Ovis aries: one gene and its partners. The protein of the gene in region 1 purifies or fractionates together with the protein of each later gene. This does not show direct contact. Links are inferred from orthologs where the notes say so. Each region holds a gene or a part of one and is shown in the gene's direction. Other genes may lie near its edges.

What was found.
Region 2: the proteins of TP53RK (region 1) and OSGEP purify together in Homo sapiens (affinity purification with mass spectrometry; 5 studies listed by BioGRID and IntAct, counting the BioPlex papers as one, with this or other methods). This does not show direct contact. The link is inferred for Ovis aries from reciprocal best matches to the Homo sapiens genes TP53RK and OSGEP.
Region 3: the proteins of TP53RK (region 1) and NUP43 purify together in Homo sapiens (affinity purification with mass spectrometry; 3 studies listed by BioGRID and IntAct, counting the BioPlex papers as one, with this or other methods). This does not show direct contact. The link is inferred for Ovis aries from reciprocal best matches to the Homo sapiens genes TP53RK and NUP43.
Region 4: the proteins of TP53RK (region 1) and GON7 purify together in Homo sapiens (affinity purification with mass spectrometry; 5 studies listed by BioGRID and IntAct, counting the BioPlex papers as one, with this or other methods). This does not show direct contact. The link is inferred for Ovis aries from reciprocal best matches to the Homo sapiens genes TP53RK and GON7.
Region 5: the proteins of TP53RK (region 1) and LAGE3 purify together in Homo sapiens (affinity purification with mass spectrometry; 5 studies listed by BioGRID and IntAct, with this or other methods). This does not show direct contact. The link is inferred for Ovis aries from reciprocal best matches to the Homo sapiens genes TP53RK and LAGE3.

What each region holds. Positions count from the first base shown.
Region 1 is NC_056066.1:75,355,039-75,359,164, reverse strand, and holds the start of TP53RK (EKC/KEOPS complex subunit TP53RK), read left to right. Parts: upstream 1-1,315; 5' UTR 1,316-1,335; coding exon 1,336-1,618; intron 1,619-3,994; coding exon 3,995-4,126.
Region 2 is NC_056060.1:24,949,586-24,953,810, forward strand, and holds the start of OSGEP (tRNA N6-adenosine threonylcarbamoyltransferase), read left to right. Parts: upstream 1-1,422; 5' UTR 1,423-1,597; coding exon 1,598-1,712; intron 1,713-3,109; coding exon 3,110-3,229; intron 3,230-3,409; coding exon 3,410-3,585; intron 3,586-4,225. Other genes in the region: APEX1 (DNA-(apurinic or apyrimidinic site) endonuclease), read right to left, coding at 145-332, 566-623. UniProt on the Homo sapiens protein: Component of the EKC/KEOPS complex that is required for the formation of a threonylcarbamoyl group on adenosine at position 37 (t(6)A37) in tRNAs that read codons beginning with adenine.
Region 3 is NC_056061.1:74,004,754-74,008,266, reverse strand, and holds part of NUP43 (nucleoporin Nup43), read left to right. Parts: intron 1-104; coding exon 105-182; intron 183-1,173; coding exon 1,174-1,354; intron 1,355-3,155; coding exon 3,156-3,291; intron 3,292-3,513. UniProt on the Homo sapiens protein: Component of the Nup107-160 subcomplex of the nuclear pore complex (NPC). The Nup107-160 subcomplex is required for the assembly of a functional NPC.
Region 4 is NC_056071.1:55,648,942-55,653,064, reverse strand, and holds the start of GON7 (EKC/KEOPS complex subunit GON7), read left to right. Parts: upstream 1-1,323; 5' UTR 1,324-1,380; coding exon 1,381-1,588; intron 1,589-4,123. Other genes in the region: putative E3 ubiquitin-protein ligase UBR7, read right to left, coding at 977-1,126. UniProt on the Homo sapiens protein: Component of the EKC/KEOPS complex that is required for the formation of a threonylcarbamoyl group on adenosine at position 37 (t(6)A37) in tRNAs that read codons beginning with adenine.
Region 5 is NC_056080.1:79,963,686-79,966,685, forward strand, and holds LAGE3 (EKC/KEOPS complex subunit LAGE3), read left to right. Parts: upstream 1-1,296; 5' UTR 1,297-1,343; coding exon 1,344-1,537; intron 1,538-1,861; coding exon 1,862-1,990; intron 1,991-2,155; coding exon 2,156-2,270; 3' UTR 2,271-2,490; downstream 2,491-3,000. UniProt on the Homo sapiens protein: Component of the EKC/KEOPS complex that is required for the formation of a threonylcarbamoyl group on adenosine at position 37 (t(6)A37) in tRNAs that read codons beginning with adenine.

The sequences.
Region 1 (4,126 bases):
TCTGCAAGAGGGACATAGGGCCCCATGCAGGACCTCATGGGTCTTTGTCTGAAGCACAACAGGGAGCCACTGAAAGATTTTATTTTATTTTTTTGTTTGTTTGTTTGTTTTTCACTGAAAGATTTTAAACTAGATTTCCTATGGTAAAAGTCAGAACCAGTCTGACTATAGCAAGCCTGGGACTTTTAAATATGTTTGCACAATGGATTTTTCCAAAAGAGGGTGTTGGAAATTGGAGGAAACAAAAAGTGCCCACCAAACTGAAAAGGTATCTTGAGAATGGAAAACAAGGCAGGCAGCTCCATATAATCAACAGAAAAGTTTATTATAAGATAACTTACAGGGTAGATTCAAGTGGACAGAGATCCAGAAGCATTTGCAGCTGCACTTTGAACCTTCAAGAGGCCATTGGGACAATTTTATAGTTAACCTAGGGTTTAGGGGTACATCCTTGGAAACAGGAAGTGCATTCCTAAGTCAAGTTATGAATGGGTAACTAGTTTTTGCAGGAACCAAGAGTACGTCAGCAAAGGTCTTCATCGTTTGGAGGCTAACAAAGCATAGAGGCCACCTGGACCTAAAAATCACTGATGACAGAGAAGATATTTATTTACTACACAGAACAGCCATAGGTAGGGTGAGCAGGACAAAAGGAACTGTACAGACCCAAGATGGCCTCAGTTATGCTAACAACCATACAGAGCAGTTCAGACAGATTTGGTAACCATGGAGATGACCATATGGACACTAAGAATTATGATAATGAAACTACGAACTTGGGAAATTGGGTTTTCCAAACCAAATAGAATTGGTTCTATAGGGGCTTCAAGTAGGCTGAACTGATGAAGGGTGCTGGAAACCACATTAGTACAAAACAAAGGATCTGATGTTTGAAAAGGTTACCTTCCCTGTGTATGAATGAAACGCAGGGACTGTGAAGTGCAACTTCCCAGGATCCAGACAGATTCCTGAGAGCAGATTCCAAGAGACGTTTTTTCAGGGAGACGCCGAAGCTTTCCGGAAATAGCCGAAGAGCTGAGAGACAGCGCCACCAAAGCCAACCGCAAGAGTCACGAAGGGTTTCCGGAAAGAGCCGAGGAGTGGAAAGAGCTCACCGAGAGCAGCCGAGGGTTTACGGAAATAGCCGAGGAGCCGAGTGGCGGGACCAGGAGGCTTAGAAAAGAGCCGAAGAGAGGAGAAACCACTTCCACGAGGCAAAAGGGTCGGCATTAGAGAGGCCGAGGAGGTCCGAGTACTTTCGGAGCGAGCCGAAGCAGCCCCGACAGTTTCCGGAGGCGGCCGAAGGGCTCCGAGCGGCTACGCGGAAACGCGAACATGGCGGCGGCCGGCGCTGCTGCCGCTAAGCTGAACGAGGAGCTGGCGCCCGCGGCCGAAGCGCTGGCCGCAGCCCGGGAGCGGAGCAGCCGCTTCCTGAGCGGCCTGGAGCTGGTGAAGCAGGGCGCCGAGGCGCGCGTGTTCCGCGGCCGCTTTCAGGGTCGCGCGGCCGTGGTGAAGCACCGCTTCCCCAAAGGCTACCGGCACCCGACGCTGGAAGCGCGGCTCAGCCGGCGGCGGACGGTGCAGGAGGCCCGGGCGTTGCTCCGCTGTCGCCGCGCAGGTAAGACGGCCCAGCTTGGGGACGCGGGGGACCCCCGAGGCTCCGGGGCTCGGGCGACGCAGGTGAGGGGCTCCCCTGCGCTGCGGGGTTGGGGGCGAGCGAGATTTGACTCAGTTTCTCCGTTTGTACCTTCTTCACGGCTTTCCATTAAGAAATGTCATCCTTTCATCCTTTTCCTTTCATTAACTCTTAAGAAGCCACTTGACGTTGTAGCGACGAGCATTTGTCCCGGAGCTCTTGGCGCCTGGTTCAGTTCCGACTCTGCCACCTTTACTCAACGTTGAACGTGTCTTTTAACTGCCCCGAGCCTCAGTTTCCCCATCTGTACAATCCCAACTTTCGATCGCTGTTAGTTACTTTCAAGAAGCAGATGTAGTTACAAGTACTTGCCCAGGAGCCAGGGTCTCTGGGTTCACACAGTCTAGTTCAGTTCAGTCCTGTCTCTGCGACTCCATGGACTGCAGCACGCCAGGCTTCCCTGTCCATCACCAACTCCCGGAGCTTGCTCAAACTCATGTCCATCGAATCCGTGATGCCTTCCAACCACCTCTTTCTCTGTTGTCCCCTTCTCCTCCTGCCTTCAGTCTTTCCCAGTATCAGCGTCTTCAAATGAGTCAGTTCTTCACATCAGGTGGCCAAAGTGTTGGAGTTTCAGCTTCAGCATCAGTCCTTCCAGTGAATATTCAGGACTGATTTCCTTTAAGATGGACTGGTTGGATCTCCGGATCCAAGAGTCTTCTCCAACACCACAGTTCAAAAGCATCAATTCTTTGGCGCTTAGCTTTCTTTATAGTCCAGCTCTCACATCCGTACACGACTACTGGAAAAACCATAGCTTTGACTAAACACTATTTTGCACCATGACGGTAAACCTTTGCCTCTGTTGAGAAACAAAGTTCAGAGGGGGGAAGTAACTTCCTCAAAGTTACACAGTTAGTAAGGCTTTCGCCCCCTATCCCTTTGACTCAGAAACACTGGCATTTCACTTTTACACTTTCACCTTTGTTTCTTTCATTGGTAATTTTTTAGGCATCTACTGTACACCAAGACATTGTTAGGTGCTGGGAGATCTGGAAGAAATTCAGGTGCCAACAAGCACACTGTCTCTGCCCTTGCTTGGATTTGCAAAGTTACACATTCATTCGTATTTCCTATTTTCACCCTTTCCAGCAGCTGAGTTCTCTTAATCAGGGATCCCGGTTGTTTTGTTTCCTGCTGTATTTCTACACATTTGTCTCTAGTATCTTGAAGTGTCTTGAGTGTGATTGACATTCAGTAAAGAGTCATTGAATCTTCAAATTCAGTGAAGTTATTGGATTATTGGTAGTACTGATCTCATGTTATAGAAGCAGAAATGGAGGCTTAGAGAAATACATGTGACTTTAAAGATACACAGTTAAAGGAAGGAAGCTGGGATTTGAACTTGTCCTTCCTCTCTGTATTCCTGGTGGCTCAGAGGTTAAAGCGTCTGCCTCCAAGGAGGGAGTCCCTGGTTCGATCCCTGGGTCGCGAAGATCCCCTGGAGAAGGAAATGGTAACCCACTCCAGTATTCTTGCCTGGAGAATCCCATGGACGGAGAAGCCTGGTAGGCTACAGTCCATGGGGTCACAAAGAGTTGGACACGACTGAGCAACTTCACTCTCTTTCCTCCCTGTAAAGGTGCATCTCTAAGCCAGCATGCTGCTTGCTCTCCTGCTTCTGTCCCTGTCAGGAAACTGCTTTCATATGTTTGAACATATAACTAATGGTGCTTACCCTTCTGACTGTTTACTTTGATTTGTATTTTAGGGAAGAAGTATGACAGGGAAAGTGAAAGTCGCTCAATTGTGTCTGACTCTTTGCGACCCCATGAACTGTAGTCCATGGAATTCTTCAGGCCAAAATACTGGAGTGGGTAGCCTGTTCCCTTCTCCAAGGGATCTTCCCAGCCCAGGGATCAAAACCAGGTCTCCCATGTTGCCAGCGGGTTTGTTACCAGCTGAGTCACCAGGGAAACCCAAGAACACTTGAGTGGGTAGCCTATCCCTTCTCCTCTGGACCCAGGAATTGAACTGGGGTGTCCTGCATTGCAGGTGGATTCTTTATCAGCTGAGCTACCAGGGAAGCCCAAATATGACAAATGAAGTTCAATCACAGTGGGTAGAAGGGAGGAGGGAGCTTTGGCTGTGCTGACCTTGCTGTGGTGGTCTAAGCATAGTCTGGCAGGAGAAACTTCCAGAGAAGAAAAGCTGTACCATTCTGCAGCATTCCTAAATCTTTTTCCCAAAATATGCAGATACACACTGGAAAATTTTTCTGACTGAGCTAGAAAATTAAGCTTACTATTAAGAAAAAAAAGGTATCTAATTCAATGACCCCTTATATCTTGGTTACAGGAATATGTGCCCCAGTTGTCTTTTTTGTGGACTATGCTTCCAACTGCTTATTTATGGAAGAAATCGAAGGCTCAGTGACTGTTCGAGATTATATTGAATCCACTCTGGAGACTGAAAAATCTTCCCAAAGTC
Region 2 (4,225 bases), on another chromosome or scaffold:
TGAAATGGCATTTGAAAAATAACAAGGTTTTTCGGGTGAAAACCTAGTACCTTTCCCACAAGAAAACTATCGTGCTAGGGACTAAGATGGAAAAAGATGATTAAACCCTAAGATCAGCCTCTGCACCCCCTTAATTCCACTCACATCTAAACCTTTCTTCTTAATCCAGGCTCGAAGCCCATCCACATTCCACGAGCAGATCTTGAGTGTGGCTGATTTGCCACTGGGTGAGGTTTTCTGATCTGGGGGGTCTTCATACAGAACTGCGCCCTCTCCTACTGCCTCTTTTTCGTTCTTTTTCGCTCCTGCCTTACTCTTCTTCGCCTCTGGCTCTATAAAATAAGTAATACATAATGGGATATAAGTTGGCGGTATCCAACTTTGATCCAGAGTAAACTATAGACCCACTAAGAGCCTGCAGCTGCCGCGACTTCTTCATAAATGAGAATACTGTCGGTGTCGGTCTGGACTTTCCGTTCAACGGTCCGTACTTCCCGTTCAACTAGGTAATTATAGACATCCCCATCGCCGCCTCTGGGGAGAGGGGCCCATTTCATTCTCTTACCAGTCTTGGGCTCTTCCGCGTCTTCGACCACCGCTCCCTTTTTCCCACGTTTCGGCATCACTGTAATGTAGGCCCTTCTGCACCAGTTCCACTTCGCCCACTGAAGCAGTATTTTGATCGCGTTGCCTACAAGTGCAAAGAAGTCGTGAAACCAGCTAGAGCAGAAGACTCCACCCTCAACGCCCACGTACCAAGTACCGCCTTTGAAACTGTATTATCTCTGAATTCTTTCCCCGCCTCCGTGCACCATCAGCCTTTCAGCCCCTCACCCCTCAGACTAGATCATTTCATCGTGTCTTATACACTTCTCGCGAGATCCGCCCTCCGGCCAAATGAGGGACTTAATTGAGAGTCCCGACCTAGCCTTGCGAATCAGACGTCCAGAGAAGCTGCTAAGATGGGCAAAACAACACAAACCCTTCAGCTGACCTGCTTCGGCCCCTGTCTGCCTCCTCCTTAACCCAGCACAAAGAATGGAGCACGCCGTGCCCCACGTGGGTAACTGGCGTGGTCACGTGATTTGAGATGCTCATCCAGGGGTGGAGGAATACGGGTCATTGGTCTAGTTGTACCACGTGACTCAAAAGCTTCCCGCCCTTCTGGACTCCGGGACACTGAAGGCCCCACCCTCCATTCTTGGACTGTTTATCAATATGCCGGATTCACAACTCTTTCTGCCACCCTGACTAGAGATCCCAAAGCTGTGTAAGAGAGAACAAAATCAGTGGAAAAGGCTGGGCTGGACTATCGGAGAGAAGCAGAGGAACGGATAGGAATTTAAGGAGCAGACGCCGGCTCAGCGTTCCCGGCAGTTAAGCGAACAGGCCCTCGAAGGGGTCTTGATGGGTCGTCGTAACGACAGAGATTGGGACCGGCGCTGGCGCGCTACGTACGGGAATATTTTGGTAGTTGTTGTTCTGGTTGGCGCGGCTGCTTAGCAGCCACTGGCTCATCCTCCTACTCTGCGACCCGGAGTCTGCGTCCCAGCGCGGACTGGTGAGGGCTCCTTGGCTCCAGTGCTAGCTCGGAGCCATGCCGGCGGTGCTGGGTTTGGAAGGCAGCGCCAACAAGATTGGCGTGGGAGTGGTACGGGATGGCAAAGTACTGGCGAATCCGCGGCGGACTTACGTCACGCCTCCCGGCACAGGTGAGGATTTGCGGATTTGTAACTCGTGGCGCAATTTTCCGCACAGCATCCCCTGCCGTCTTTCTAAACGTTGGTGAAGAGTGCGCATTGTGTCTCATAATTTTTGATCCTAGTTTCTGAGATTATGTAACGGTAAAAGGGCTTCCCAGTTGGCTCAGTGGTAAAGAATCTGCCTGCAGTACAGGAGACTTGAGTTCGATCCGTGGGTCGAGATCCTCTGGGGAACGGAATGGCAACCCACCCCAGTATTCTTGCCTGGAGAATCCTATTGACGGAGGAGTCTAATGGATTACAGTCCATGAGTTGGACAAGACTAAGCACGCACACACATTATCCCGAAGCTGATGGGTAGAAGAGTTACAGGCACTTGAAACTGGATCTTCTGAGTTGTTCAGCCTATACTGACCACCTTTTATGTGCTAATTATCGGCTGCCCTTAGAATATTCGGTAGTTGTTTTTGGACTTCTGTACTTTGTTCTTAAAATGGGAATGATATTACCTGCGTCATTTGGTCTGGAGAGTTAAAGTATCGGATACACTGACAACTTTCCGTAAATGTTATTTCTAAGCTCTGTTGTCTTTGCTACCTTTCCCCCAAACACCTCCTTCCATAGGAGAGGGCAGCAGGCTTGTGTATACCTGAAAAGCCTCCCTGAACAGGTGATGTTGTAACAGGTTACTCGTTAGAAATGGATATATATGTTTAGCACTCAAGCTTCTCGGCATTTGGCACCAAGCTGCAAAGTCGCTTCAGTCGTGTCCGACTCTGCGTGACCCCATAGACGGCAGCCCACCCCCCCGTCCCTGGGATTCTGCAGGCAAGAACACTGGAGTGGGTTGCCATTTCCTTCTCCAATGCATGAAAGTGAAAAGCGAAAGTGAAGTCGCTCAGTCGTATCCGACTCTTAGTGACCCCATGGACTGCAGCCTACCAGGCTCCTCCGTCCGGAGGATTTTCCAGGCAAGAGTACTGCAGTGGGGTGCCATTGCCTTCATTGGCACCAAGAATGTGAAGATAAAACAGGCAGTGCTTTGAGATGCTCATGGTTAAGCTGGGAAAAGTACCGATTAACTATAATGCTGTAATTGTTACATGTTACATATAGTATGTTAATATAAATGATGTTACCATGCACAGTGTTTGTAGAGTCACAGGGCATCACCAAAAAGTATGAGATAGGTATCATTGAGTCCTGAATAGGAGTTAGTTATGAAGAAGGGCATTGCTCAGAGCTGTTTAGCTTAGCTGAACAGGCTGAAAAGACTATATCTGAAGACAGGATGTTTGAGGAAAAGGGAGGGGACTCTTCCTACCCTACTGAAATGTCTGTTTTGACTTCTAGGTGCCTTTCTGTAGGAAAATTCTTAGGATCTCTGACTTGTGTCCGTCTCCTAGGATTCCTTCCAGGTGATACTGCTAGGCACCACCGAGCTGTTATCCTGGACCTGCTGCAGGAGGCACTAACAGAGGCTGGATTAACCTCTGAGGATATTGATTGCATCGCATACACCAAAGGTATAGCTAGAAGTGTGCACAGCAGTGGAAGAATATACCTGGAACCCAGCTAGGTCAAAATAGTCTGCACCTCACCTTTGAAACCACCACTACATCCGCTGTACCTTCACATCCCCCGCTTCCCTCAACTCTGTTTTTCCCAATCTCTATAGGATTCTAAGCCCTATTCTGTCCCCATAGGTCCTGGCATGGGTGCCCCACTGGTTTCTGTGGCTGTTGTGGCCCGTACTGTGGCCCAGTTATGGAATAAGCCATTGCTGGGTGTTAACCACTGTATAGGTCACATTGAGATGGGCCGCCTCATCACTGGAGCCACCAACCCAACTGTGCTGTATGTCAGTGGAGGAAATACACAGGTATTTAGAATTCTTCACGGTTCTTTTTTTTTTTTTCCCCTCAGATTTTTGGGTATTTTTAATAACTGAAACAAAACAGATCTAAAACCACAGCTTCTAGAAGAACCATCTGTTCTTGCTGGTTTTGTATCTTTCCTCAAACTTGACCTTGACCTCTTGTTGGGATGCACATTTAAGAGCAGGGTATCTGAAGACATTCTCCTTGGCCACAGTTTTTTCCAAGGGGATACCTACAGAGTACCTTGTGGGCTTGAAGTGGTATACTTCAAGTTACAAACTTTCACAAAAGACTTGCTCTCTGACCTCCTGGCAGTTTTCTTCTTGCCCATGGTAGCTTTCACTTTGTACCTTGCTAGCAAGGTAGCAAGATCATAGGTGTTCATGATGACTGGCCAGGGGCATCACCACCTCCCAGGTTTCATGAACTTGGCCATTTTGACAGAAGCCATTCAGGACTACAGCAGAAGAGTTCCACCAGTCCTTCTTAATTTCTGAGGCACTGTGCTAGCAACTTTCACTTTCTGCCTGAGTGGTAGGAAAACTGGGCTCATCTGAAGCTAAAAAGTGATACACTGGAACATTGGATGACCTTTATACGTGGCTATCGAGATGAGGAATTTCCAGCTTAGAGAAGGAAAAA
Region 3 (3,513 bases), on another chromosome or scaffold:
TTCTTTGCATTTTAAAATTGTTACACTGCTAATTGAGTTAGATAAATGGGCTTCTTCCCTGCTGATATTTATGAATTTATAACATGCAGGAATTTTCTGTTTAGTTTTTGGACCAGGAAAGAATTGTAGCTGCTTCATCGACAGGATGTGTGACAATTTTCCTCCACCATCCAAATAACCAGGTAAAGAATTTTTGTTTGAAAACTCAGTTTGCATTTTAATTATTTTTAGGAAGGCTTAAAGAAGGCTATACTTAATAATGACAAATTATAAAGTTTTATTGTCTCAAAAACTATAAAAAGGAGGGGAAAATGTCATTGCATTACCCATCTTTTAGTTGACTAATTCTAGAACCATTTCTGTGTGAACTTTCATTGAAATTGGGTAACTCTTCAATTTTCTTAGGTTCCATGTAACAGTATGGTATTCTGGCAAGTGATTTTCCTGTAACTTTCTGTTAAGATCCTCCTCTGGTTTTCTGAAGAGAGAAAGAGCACTTTCTAGCTCAGACATCATGAGAGGGAGCAGGAACAGCTACTCTACTTCTGTGAACAGAACCGAGGTTGTAATTAGAAGGAAAGATACACTATATGAAGGCTTGATACTTTTTCTATGCTTTTCTTATATGTCAAAGGCTAAGAGTGCTGACTTTCAGAGCATAGTTTAAGGGCAGTCCTTTAAAATAGGCCCACTTGAAGTTAACAGTTTTAAGTTGCTGGAAGAGAATGCTTATTTAGATTTGGATATTGATAAAGGTCATCTTACTAATAGACATGCCTAGTAAGTATAAGACCCAGATCTAGTTAAATGTTATTCTTACAGAATCATCTGGAAAGCCCTGCAGAGATTTATCTCTTCAATGTAGATCAGTTCCCTTAAGAATTTAGAGTTGTCTTTGAACACATAATTACCTGATGCTTAAAAACTGTTTCTTTAGTTTGAGATAAGTTTGGAATATTATTAAACAGGGTTTCTTTGGAATCTGATCTGGTGAATACAGAGCTTTAATGGAAGTATTTCCTAGACCTTAATACTTTGAAATACAAAGCGAAAAGAGTACTATTTTTCTAGAAAGGTATGAAACACAGTTTTAAAATAATAGTGTAGTTAGGGAAAGTGCTAATTATTTGGAGCTTTGCTTTAATTAATCATAGCCTCATTTCTGACACCTAGACTCTGTCAGTCAGCCAGCAGTGGACAGCAGCTCACTACCACACGGGTCCAGGCAGTCCTTCCTGTAGCAATGCACCATGCACAGGTGTTGTGTGCAACAACCCAGAAATTGTCACAGTTGGAGAAGATGGTCGGATAAATCTCTTCAGAGCTGATCACAAGGAAGCTGTAAGAACTATAGGTAAGAAAAATCATCTTTCTTTGGTCTATCTTATAGTAATTCAGCACCTCCTGTGTGCAGTGCCAGGGGTTAAATGTTTGAGGGATTTAGAAATATACAAAGCAGGATCCCTTTATCAAGATAGTATGTTGATAAGGCCTGTATGAAGGACTGACTAGAAGAAAGAGAAATTTGTGGGGAGGATGGTTGGAAGGAATTACTGGATAAAGAATTGAGGGGCAGGGCAATTCATTTAATCTAGATTCTAGACCATAAATAATACTGAGAAGTGGCACGCCAGATAAAGGGAATAGCATAGAGGCGGGGTAAGGCCAGTCAGAGAATGACAGAAAGTGTAGTTTGACCTGACTTTAGATATTTGTGTAGGAGAATTGAGAGATGAAACAAGAAAGGTAGATTGCAGTCAGGTTGTGAAAGATAATACCTTTTTTTAGGTAGACAGCTAAGGAGACATTGAAAGTTTTTGAGCAAAGGGGTAATGTACCCACATCGTGTTTTAGAAGGATTATTTAGTGCAGTGGTAGTGGTTTAGTTGCTAAATCATGTCTGACTAGTGTAGTAGTTCTCAACCATATTTTGCACAGACTTGCCCGAGGAGATTTTTAACAGCCCATCACCCTAGACCTCTTGAATTAGAACTTCTATGGATTGAGCCCATGAATCAGTTTTTTGTATTATTATTATCATTTTTAGTTCTGAGAAATACCATTTGTTTAGCTTTGAAAGACTGCTGGCCTGGTGACAGTTTGGAGAAGGGTCACAAAATAAAAGTCTTTAAGTATATACTAAATAAAGATGTATAAGCTTAGACACACTAGAAAAAGCAGAAGGACCATTAAGGCAAACAGGAAGAACTTCATGGCAGAAAAGAGAGCTGATAAGGATAAAGATGAATCAATTTGAGATGAGTCAGCAGAATAATACAGGGTCAGATTGAGCTCTGTAGGAAGCTGTGGTGTTTGGCCCAACAGAATGGAGGTTCTGGATGAAGCACTTGAGTTCAGTTGCTCTTTGCGACCCCATGGACTGCAGCCCTGTCCATCACCAACTCCTGGAGCTTGCTCAAGCTCATATCCATTGAGTCAGGGATGCCATCCAACCATCTCATCCTCTGTCGTCCCCTTCTCCTGCCTTCAATCTTTGCCAGCATCAGAGTCTTTTCCAGTGAGTCAGTTCTTCACATCAGGTGGCCAAAGGATTGGAGTTTCAGCTTGAGCATCAGTCCTTCTAAAGAATATTCAGGACTGATCTGCTTTAGGATGGACTGGTTTGATCTCCTTGCAGTCCAAGGGACTCTCAAGAGTGTTCTCCAACACCACAATTCAAAACCATCAATTCTTTGGCACTAAGCTTTCTTTAAAGTCCAACTTTGACATCCATACATGACTAGTGGAAAAACCGTATCTTTGACTGGATGGACCTTTGCTAGCAAATAATGTCTGCTTTTTAACATGATGTCTAGGTTGTCTAGGGTGAAGCAGTGGTGGGAGATAAAATTGGATTATAAAGAAACTTGAACAGCTGTCTCAGAAATGTAGTACTCTTAAGTGGAAATAGAGAAATATATGAAAACTTAGTCCTCTAGTTGGAAAACAGTTCAGATGTCCTGTGAGTAATATAATTTTTCTATCAAAGGAGAGTCCATTTTAACATATGTTCCTATATTTTTCCATAGAAATAAAATTGTGACTTATTTAAAGTTTCACTTGTAATTTTTCAGTCAACAGAGGGAACACTGTTTAAGGTATTCATGGAAAAGTGGTGCCCTGTTAACATACACTGCAGTTTTCTTAATTTACAGACAATGCAGATAGCAGTACACTCCATGCTGTAACCTTCCTTCGAACTCCTGAGATTCTTACAGTAAATTCAATTGGACAGTTAAAAATATGGGATTTTAGACAACAAGGAAATGAGCCCACGCAGATATTATCACTGTAAGTTTTGATCTGTAATTTCAGTAGTATAAAGCAAATTTGTTTATTTGTAGCAACTAACTTTATAAGCCATATTGTATTTCAATTGCATGTTAAGAGTAATTTCTGATTAACTTTGATAAAGCAAATACAGTTGACCCTTGAACAATATAAGCATTAGAGTCACTGACCCTCTATACACTCGAAAATCCATGTATACTTTATAGTTGGCACTCTACCAGG
Region 4 (4,123 bases), on another chromosome or scaffold:
GTGGCGACCAAAGGTTTTAAAATATCAGCCAACATTAAATACCTCTGAAGCCAGGTGTATTAAAAAAAAAAAAATCTAACCACTTTGCAGTGTAAACTCAACTGGTCATTGATAACAACTGGTATTGTGATCTCAAGCAACACCACGTAAAGACCCCATGTCTCTCTCCCCATCCTGCAATGTTCCACTCCACCTGCCTGGAAGATAACCTTCTTCCTATCAAGTACCATCTCTCATTAGTTTTCTTCTACCACCTTTCTCCATTTTTGAACCTAGAAACATAGAATGAGTCACCAAACACTACGTCACACCCCCTCCAGTCCTTGTTCCCACCATCTTCCGAATGCCATCTCTCCTCCCCTCCTTTCCTTTGCCAGTGCCACCAGCTGTTCGGGTTCCGGTCTATGCCCCTGGAGGGCCGACTGCAGAGAGACGTGGTACTTGCTTCCTCTCGCCAAAAAAAAAAACCAGCTAGCACCTGTCAAACTAAACTGCAGAGGAACCAGCTGTCCAGGAGTCCAGCCTACGCGGAGAGATTTTCAAACCCAGAGCTCTCTCCTTTAATTATTTGACTCTTCCGTTTAGTACCCAGCAAATACTCTGAGGATGGGAAAAGTATGGACAAAGATACTCAGGATGTGAAAGGTCACGGGGTTGGTTTGGTGAAAAGCGGCCGGGGCACAGAGAAGAGACGAGGAAGGAAGGAAAGAGCAGCTGCTCTGGGGCCAAAACCGTAGAAACGTCGGGGGCCTGACAGAGGAAAATCGAGAAAGGAGGGGCGTCCTGCTGGCCACAGGTTAGAAGGGGCTCAGAAGACTAAGTGTAAAAGGGCACCTGGGCCTGGGATGGGGAAGCCTACGACCAACAGCTGCGCTGGACCACCACAGGGGGCCGGCCGCGGCCGGCGGGAAGAGAGAGGGTAAGGCGGTGGGGAAAGGGAGGTTCAGCGGAGGCGAGGGCCGAGCCGCGCGCCCACCTGCGAGTAGGAGCACTTCTCCGAGTCACTGCCGCCCAGGACGGCGCAAGCCTCATTCTCCAGCTCCTCGTCCTCCTCCAGTACATCGACCAACGATACCACGGGCTCCAACTCCGACTGTCGCCCAGCTGGCTCCTCAGCTCCAGCCATCCTCAACTGTCACCAGGACCGCCGACCGGCCCCGGCGGAGGCGGGAAAAGCGTCCGCGAGGGGCGGGGCCGGAGGAGGCGGGGCCTCGGTGCCAGACACCAATCCCAAAGACAGGGAGCGAAGGAAGGGGGAGGAGCGACTTCCGACAAACGGAAGTCAGGCCTCTCCCTTCTCCGCGCCTGCGCCCGCGGCGGGCTGGTTTCCGTTTCCGGTGGCGACTCACTGTGGCGCGCTCCTGAAGCGTAGCGGTCGCTATGGAGCTGTTGGGCGAGTACGTCGGACTGGAAGGGCAGCGACAGCAGCTGCGGGTGCCTTGTGAGGCGCCGGGCGTCACCGACCCTTTCCAGAGCTTGTTGTCCGGTGTGGCTCAGATGAGGGAGCTGGTGACTGAGCTCTTCGGCTCTCAGGTACAGCCGGAAGCACAGGACCGGGGGACGGCGGCTCCCGACGAGGCCTTGGACGGTGAGCTTTGAGACGGTTCAGCGAGTGACAGGAGGGCGGGCAGGGGCGCCCGGAGAAATTTGGGCTGTACCTGGACTCGTTTAGCAGGACTGCTTTTGACGATTCTCTTTTCATTTATGTCACACAAAAAACGTACTGAACGCCTACGGCCCTGTGCCAGTCACTGGGCTGAACTCTGGAGAAAGAATGACGTGAATGCGACTCAGTTCCTGTTCTTGTGGAACTCTGTGGGAGGTTAGACAGACAAACATTCTTATTAAAGAGTAGAAGGAATGACCCTAGGCTTCTTTGTAACTATTGCAAACCTAGAGAACCCAAGAAGGCTTCAGAAAGAGCATGACTTCTAAGCTGGGCTTAGAAGGATGGAAAGGAATTTTCCCAGGCGTGAACTTACAAATATGTTTGGAAGACCGCCATCTATTACAGAATAGAAACAGGTTCTGAAGATTGGAATAGATTTCAGATGAACAAGGCTTCACTGTCAGGGACTCCTTTCATTTCCCAGTGTGGTAGGTGCAGTTTGAAAGCAGAAATGGAAATTTTAACTGTATTCTTAAGTCTTGTCTTGAATACCCTGAGCTGAAGAACCTAAGAACTAAATATTGGAATCAGGGCTTACTTCCCCTATTGTTGTTGTTGAGGTTCAGTCGCTCAGTTGTGTCCAACTCTGCAACTCCATGGACTGTAGCACACCAGGCTCCTCTGTCCTTCTCTGTCTCCCAGAGCTTGCTCAAATTCAGGTACATTTAAACTGCAGTGCCATCCAGCCATCTCATCCTTTGTCTCCCCCTTCTCCATCTGCCCTCAATCTTTCCTAGCATCAGTCTTTTCCAGTGAGTCAGCTCTTTGCCTCAGATGGCCAAATTATTGGAGCTTCAGCTTCAGCATCAGTCCACCCAATGAATATTCAGGGTTGATTTCCTTTAGGATTAACATTTCATCTCCTTGCCTTCCAAGGGACCCTCAAGAGTCTTCTCCAGTACCACAGTTCAAAAGCATCAATTCTTCAGCACTCAGCCTTCTTTATGGACCAACTCTCACATCTGTACATGACTACTGAAAAAACCATAGCTTTGACTATACAGACCTTTGTCGTCAGAGTGATGTCTCTGCTTTTAATACACTGTCTAGGTTTGTCATAGCTTTCCTTCCAAGGATCAAGTGTCTTTTAATTTCGTGGCTACAGTCACTGTCTGCAGTGATTTTGGAGCCCAAGAAAATAAAATCTGTCACTGCTTCCACTTTTTCCCCTTCTATTTGTCATGAAGTGATGGGACCGGGTGCCATCTTCTTTGTCTTTGAATGTTGAGTTTTAAGCCAGCTTCTTCACTCTCCTCTTTCAGCTTCATCAAGAGGTTCTTTAGTTGCTCTTCACTTTCTGCCATTAAGGTGGTATTATCTGTGTATCTGATGTTTTTGATACTTCTCCTGGCACTCTTGATTCCAGCTTGTGCTTCATCCAGCTTGGAATAAGCAGAGTGACAATATACAGCTTTGATGTACTCCTTTCCCAATTTTGAACAAGTTTGTTGTTTCCTGCCTGGTTCTAACTGTTGTTTCTTGACCTGCATACGGTTTGGGGATTGGAATAAAAACTGACCTTTTCCAGTCCTCTGGCCGCTGCTGAGTTTTCCAAATTTGCTGACATATCAAACAGCATCATCTTTTAAGATTCTAAATAGCTCAGCTGGAGTTCTATCACCTCCATTAGGTTTGTTCATAGTCCTAAGGTCCACTTGACTTCAGACTCCAGGATATCCAGCTCTAGGTGAGTGACCACACCATTGTGGTTATCCGTGTCATTAAGACTTCTTGTATAGTTCTTCTGTGTAGTCTTGCCACCTCTTAATTTCTTCTGCTTCTGTTAGGTCCTTACCATTTCTGTCCTTTTATCATGCCTGTCTTTGCATGAAATGTTCCCTTGGTGTCTCCAATTTTCTTGAAGAGATCTGTCTTTCCCATTCTATTATTTTCTGTTTCTTTGCATTGTTCATTAAGAAGGCCTTCTTATCTCTCCTTAATATTCTTTGGAACTCTGCATTCAGAAGGGTATATCTTTCTCTTTCTCCCTTGCTTTTCACCTCTCTTCTTTCCTCAGCTCTTTGTAAAGCCTCCTTGGACAACCAATTTACCTTCTTGCATTTCTTTTACTTTGGATTGGTTTTGGTCACTGCCTACTGCACAGTGTTACAAACCTCCATCCATAGTTCTTCAGGCACTCTGTCTGCAAATCTAATTCCCTGAATCTATTTGTCACCTCCACTGTATAATCATAAGGGATTTTATTTAGGTCATACTTGAATGGCCTAGTGATTTTCCCCTACTTTCTTCCATTTAAACATGAATTTTATAATAAGGAGTTCATGATATGAGCCACAGTCAGCTCCAGATCATGACTATGTGGAACTTCTCCATCTTAAGTTGCAAAGAACATAATCAGTCTGATTTCAGTATTGACCAGATAGTGATGTCCATGTGTAGAGGCGTCTCTTGGGTCATTGGAAAAAGGCGTTTGCTACGACCAGCGTGTTCTCT
Region 5 (3,000 bases), on another chromosome or scaffold:
GGCAGATTCTTTACCATCTGATCCACCAGGGAAGCCCCAGTGGTAGAGAATCCACCTGCCAATGCAGGAGACTTGGAAGCTCTGATCCATGAAGATCCCCCATGCCTGGGAACCACTAAGCCAAGTACCACAACTACTGAGACTGTGCTCTAGAGCCCACGCGCCCTACAGCCTGAGCTCTGCCAACAAGAGAAGGCACTGCAATAAGCCCGCTTGCTGCAACTAGACAAAAACCCTCACAGGAAGGAAGACCCAGCACAGCCAAAAACAATTAAATTATATGTGAAATATATATATCAAGTTCAGGGAGATAGGGTGGCCACCGGTGGAGACTAGCAATGAAGGGGGAGAGGGTAGGCTGATTCAGGATGGATTTCGAGGGGTGATCCAACAGGCTTTGATAACCTACTTCACCTTTATGCCCTTCCTTCTGATTACAAAGGAGGAAAACAGAAAACTAACAGGGCTATCACCATCAGAAATTTCATGTCACTTTAAAAACTTATTTTTGATTAAAAATGCCGTATAAGGTTACTGTCAAAAACTTGCAGAACAGAAAAGGGAAGTTAAAATCGAGTCATACAGTTTGTGAAAGGCCCGAGCTGTGGGAAAGAAAGAGTTAGTCGCTCAGTCGTGGCCGACTCTGTGGTTTAGTCAGTAAGTCGTGTCCAACTCTTGCGACCTCACGGACTGTAGCCCCCAGGCTCCTCTGTCCATGGGGTTCTCCAGGCAGGAATACTGGAGTGTGTTGCTATTTCCTTCTCCAGGGGATCTTCCTGACCCAGGGATCAAACCCGGATCTCTTGCATGGCAGGTAGATTCTTTACCCACTGAGCTACAAGGGAAGCCCCGAACTGAGGAAGGGAGATTCATTTCTCTGCGGCCAACGGAGATTCCCCTCGGCCGGCCGGCTCCACCAGACCTGTTTGCGCAAGCGCGCGGGGCGGGGTCGGCGCGCGGGGCGGGGTCGGCGCGCGGGGCGGGGTCGGCGCGCGGGGCGGGGTCGGCGCGCGGGGCGGGGTCGGCGCGCGGGGCGGGGTCGGCGCGCGGGGCGGGGTCGGCGCGCGGGGCGGGGTCGGCGCGCGGGGCGGGGTCGGCGCGCGGGGCGGGGTCGGCGCGCGGGGCGGGGTCGGCGCGCGGGGCGGGGGCGGCGCGCGGGGCGGGGGCGGCGCGCGGGGCGGGGGCGGCGCGCGGGGCGGGGGCGGCGCGCGGGGCGGGGGCGGCGCGCGGGGCGGGGGCGGCGCTTCAGGAAGAAGCAGCAGTTTTTAAGCTGCTCGCGTAGCGGGTGGGCGACGGAGAGTCCTGGAGCCAGTGGGTGGGGTTGGAGGCGGAGCACGGCAGCCATGCAGGAGACAGGTGGGGACGTAGGCGCAGGCATCCTGGCGGGTGGCGCCGAAAGCCAGGGCCGGCGGGGGTTCGGGGGTGGCCGGGGCAGCCCCGGCAGCGCGGGTGCTGCTTCCGCTGCAGACCACGGAGCTCCGGGTGTCGCGCCGGCCCAGCACTCTTCCCAAAAGCCGGGAAGCCGACCATGCGTATTGTATCCTACTCGAGGGGCAGTGCGGATTGGGCTGGGGGATGCCTGCGGTGGGAGGTGGGACAAACGGACCGGCGGGTCAGGGGCTGCTGGGGGGTGGAATGGCCAGGGCGCCTGGGGCGGGTAGAGAATAGAGAGCTGAAGGGAGACTGGAAGCTGGGATGGGCCTGGGTGGCGTGGGTCGGGGGGAGAAATGGGATCTCGGGGCAGTGGGGTGGCTGGGCTGGATTAGGGCTACGAGCGGCCCGGAGGGGCTGGAAGCGGTCCTGAGACAGGACCCAGAGCTCCAAATCCTTGTGGGTGGTACCTTAACCGCATCTCCATCAGCACCCTAAGCGTGCCTTTCCCGTCCGCGTTGGAGGCAGAGATTGCCCATGGGTCACTGGCCCCAGATACCGAACCTCACCGTGGGGCGGTTGGGAAGGAGCTCACAGTGAGCGGCAATGTCCTGGCTGTGTAAGTTGGAAAAGGGGCTGGTTGGAAGTGGTAGCAGGTGACCAAGCTTGTCTCTCGCCGGGGGCGCTCTGTTTGGACATACTCAAGGGCTGTGTTTATGGAGGTGACGCAGTGCCCTTGATTCAACCCATCTCCACCTTGATTCTCTTTTTCTGTCATTTTCAGCTGCTGGAGAGCTGAAGATTGCCGCCTCCTTCGAATCTCCATTGTCAACTTTCTGGACCAGCTTTCTCTGGTGATGCGAACCATGCAGCGCTTTGGGCCCCCTGTTGCTCGCTAAGCCAGGGCTGGGGAAAGGGGGGTCTGATCTGGTGGCCCTTCCTAGACAGTGCATCCTTCCTAGGGCAGTGATTCCTGCACTAGTTGCCTATTATGGGGGCCTCATCTTTTGGCTATAATGGCCCTTGGGTGCTCAAGGTCCACTTGCATTGTTTGGTACTTAAATGTTTCTTAACTACTGAAAATAAAATTGACCTATGATGAGTTTATTTTCAACTGTAGCACCTTCAAAATTCTTGCATTTGTTCTTAGATGGGAGGGTTCTGATTCAGATAGTCAAGTAGTACAGTGTAAGTGAAGATAATCTAAGAAATGGAGGAGGATAGGTCCTGTCTCTCATTCAGTATTAGCTACTATCAATATTTTGGAGTATTTTTGAGTTTTATAGTTACATAGTAAATGTGTAATAATAATATTTGATATTTTGCAAGTTTAGCATTTTTCCTGGTATTTCTCATCTAACATGAACTTTTTTCTAAAAATTCTTCAAAATCATTATTGATTGTTTAAACTATTTTCAGTCTTTGCCATATTATAGGTAATGATTCCATGGAACACTTGTATATAGATCTTTGCATGAATGATTAAGATTACAAGAAGTAGAATTAATTAAATATTTAAAGCTCTCAATCTGAAGCATGTGAAATTACTGTCCATAAAATGCCCTCCCACCAGAATTCTGGTTTCCCCACATTAGTGTCACCATTGGGGGCTTCCCAGGTGGTGTAGCA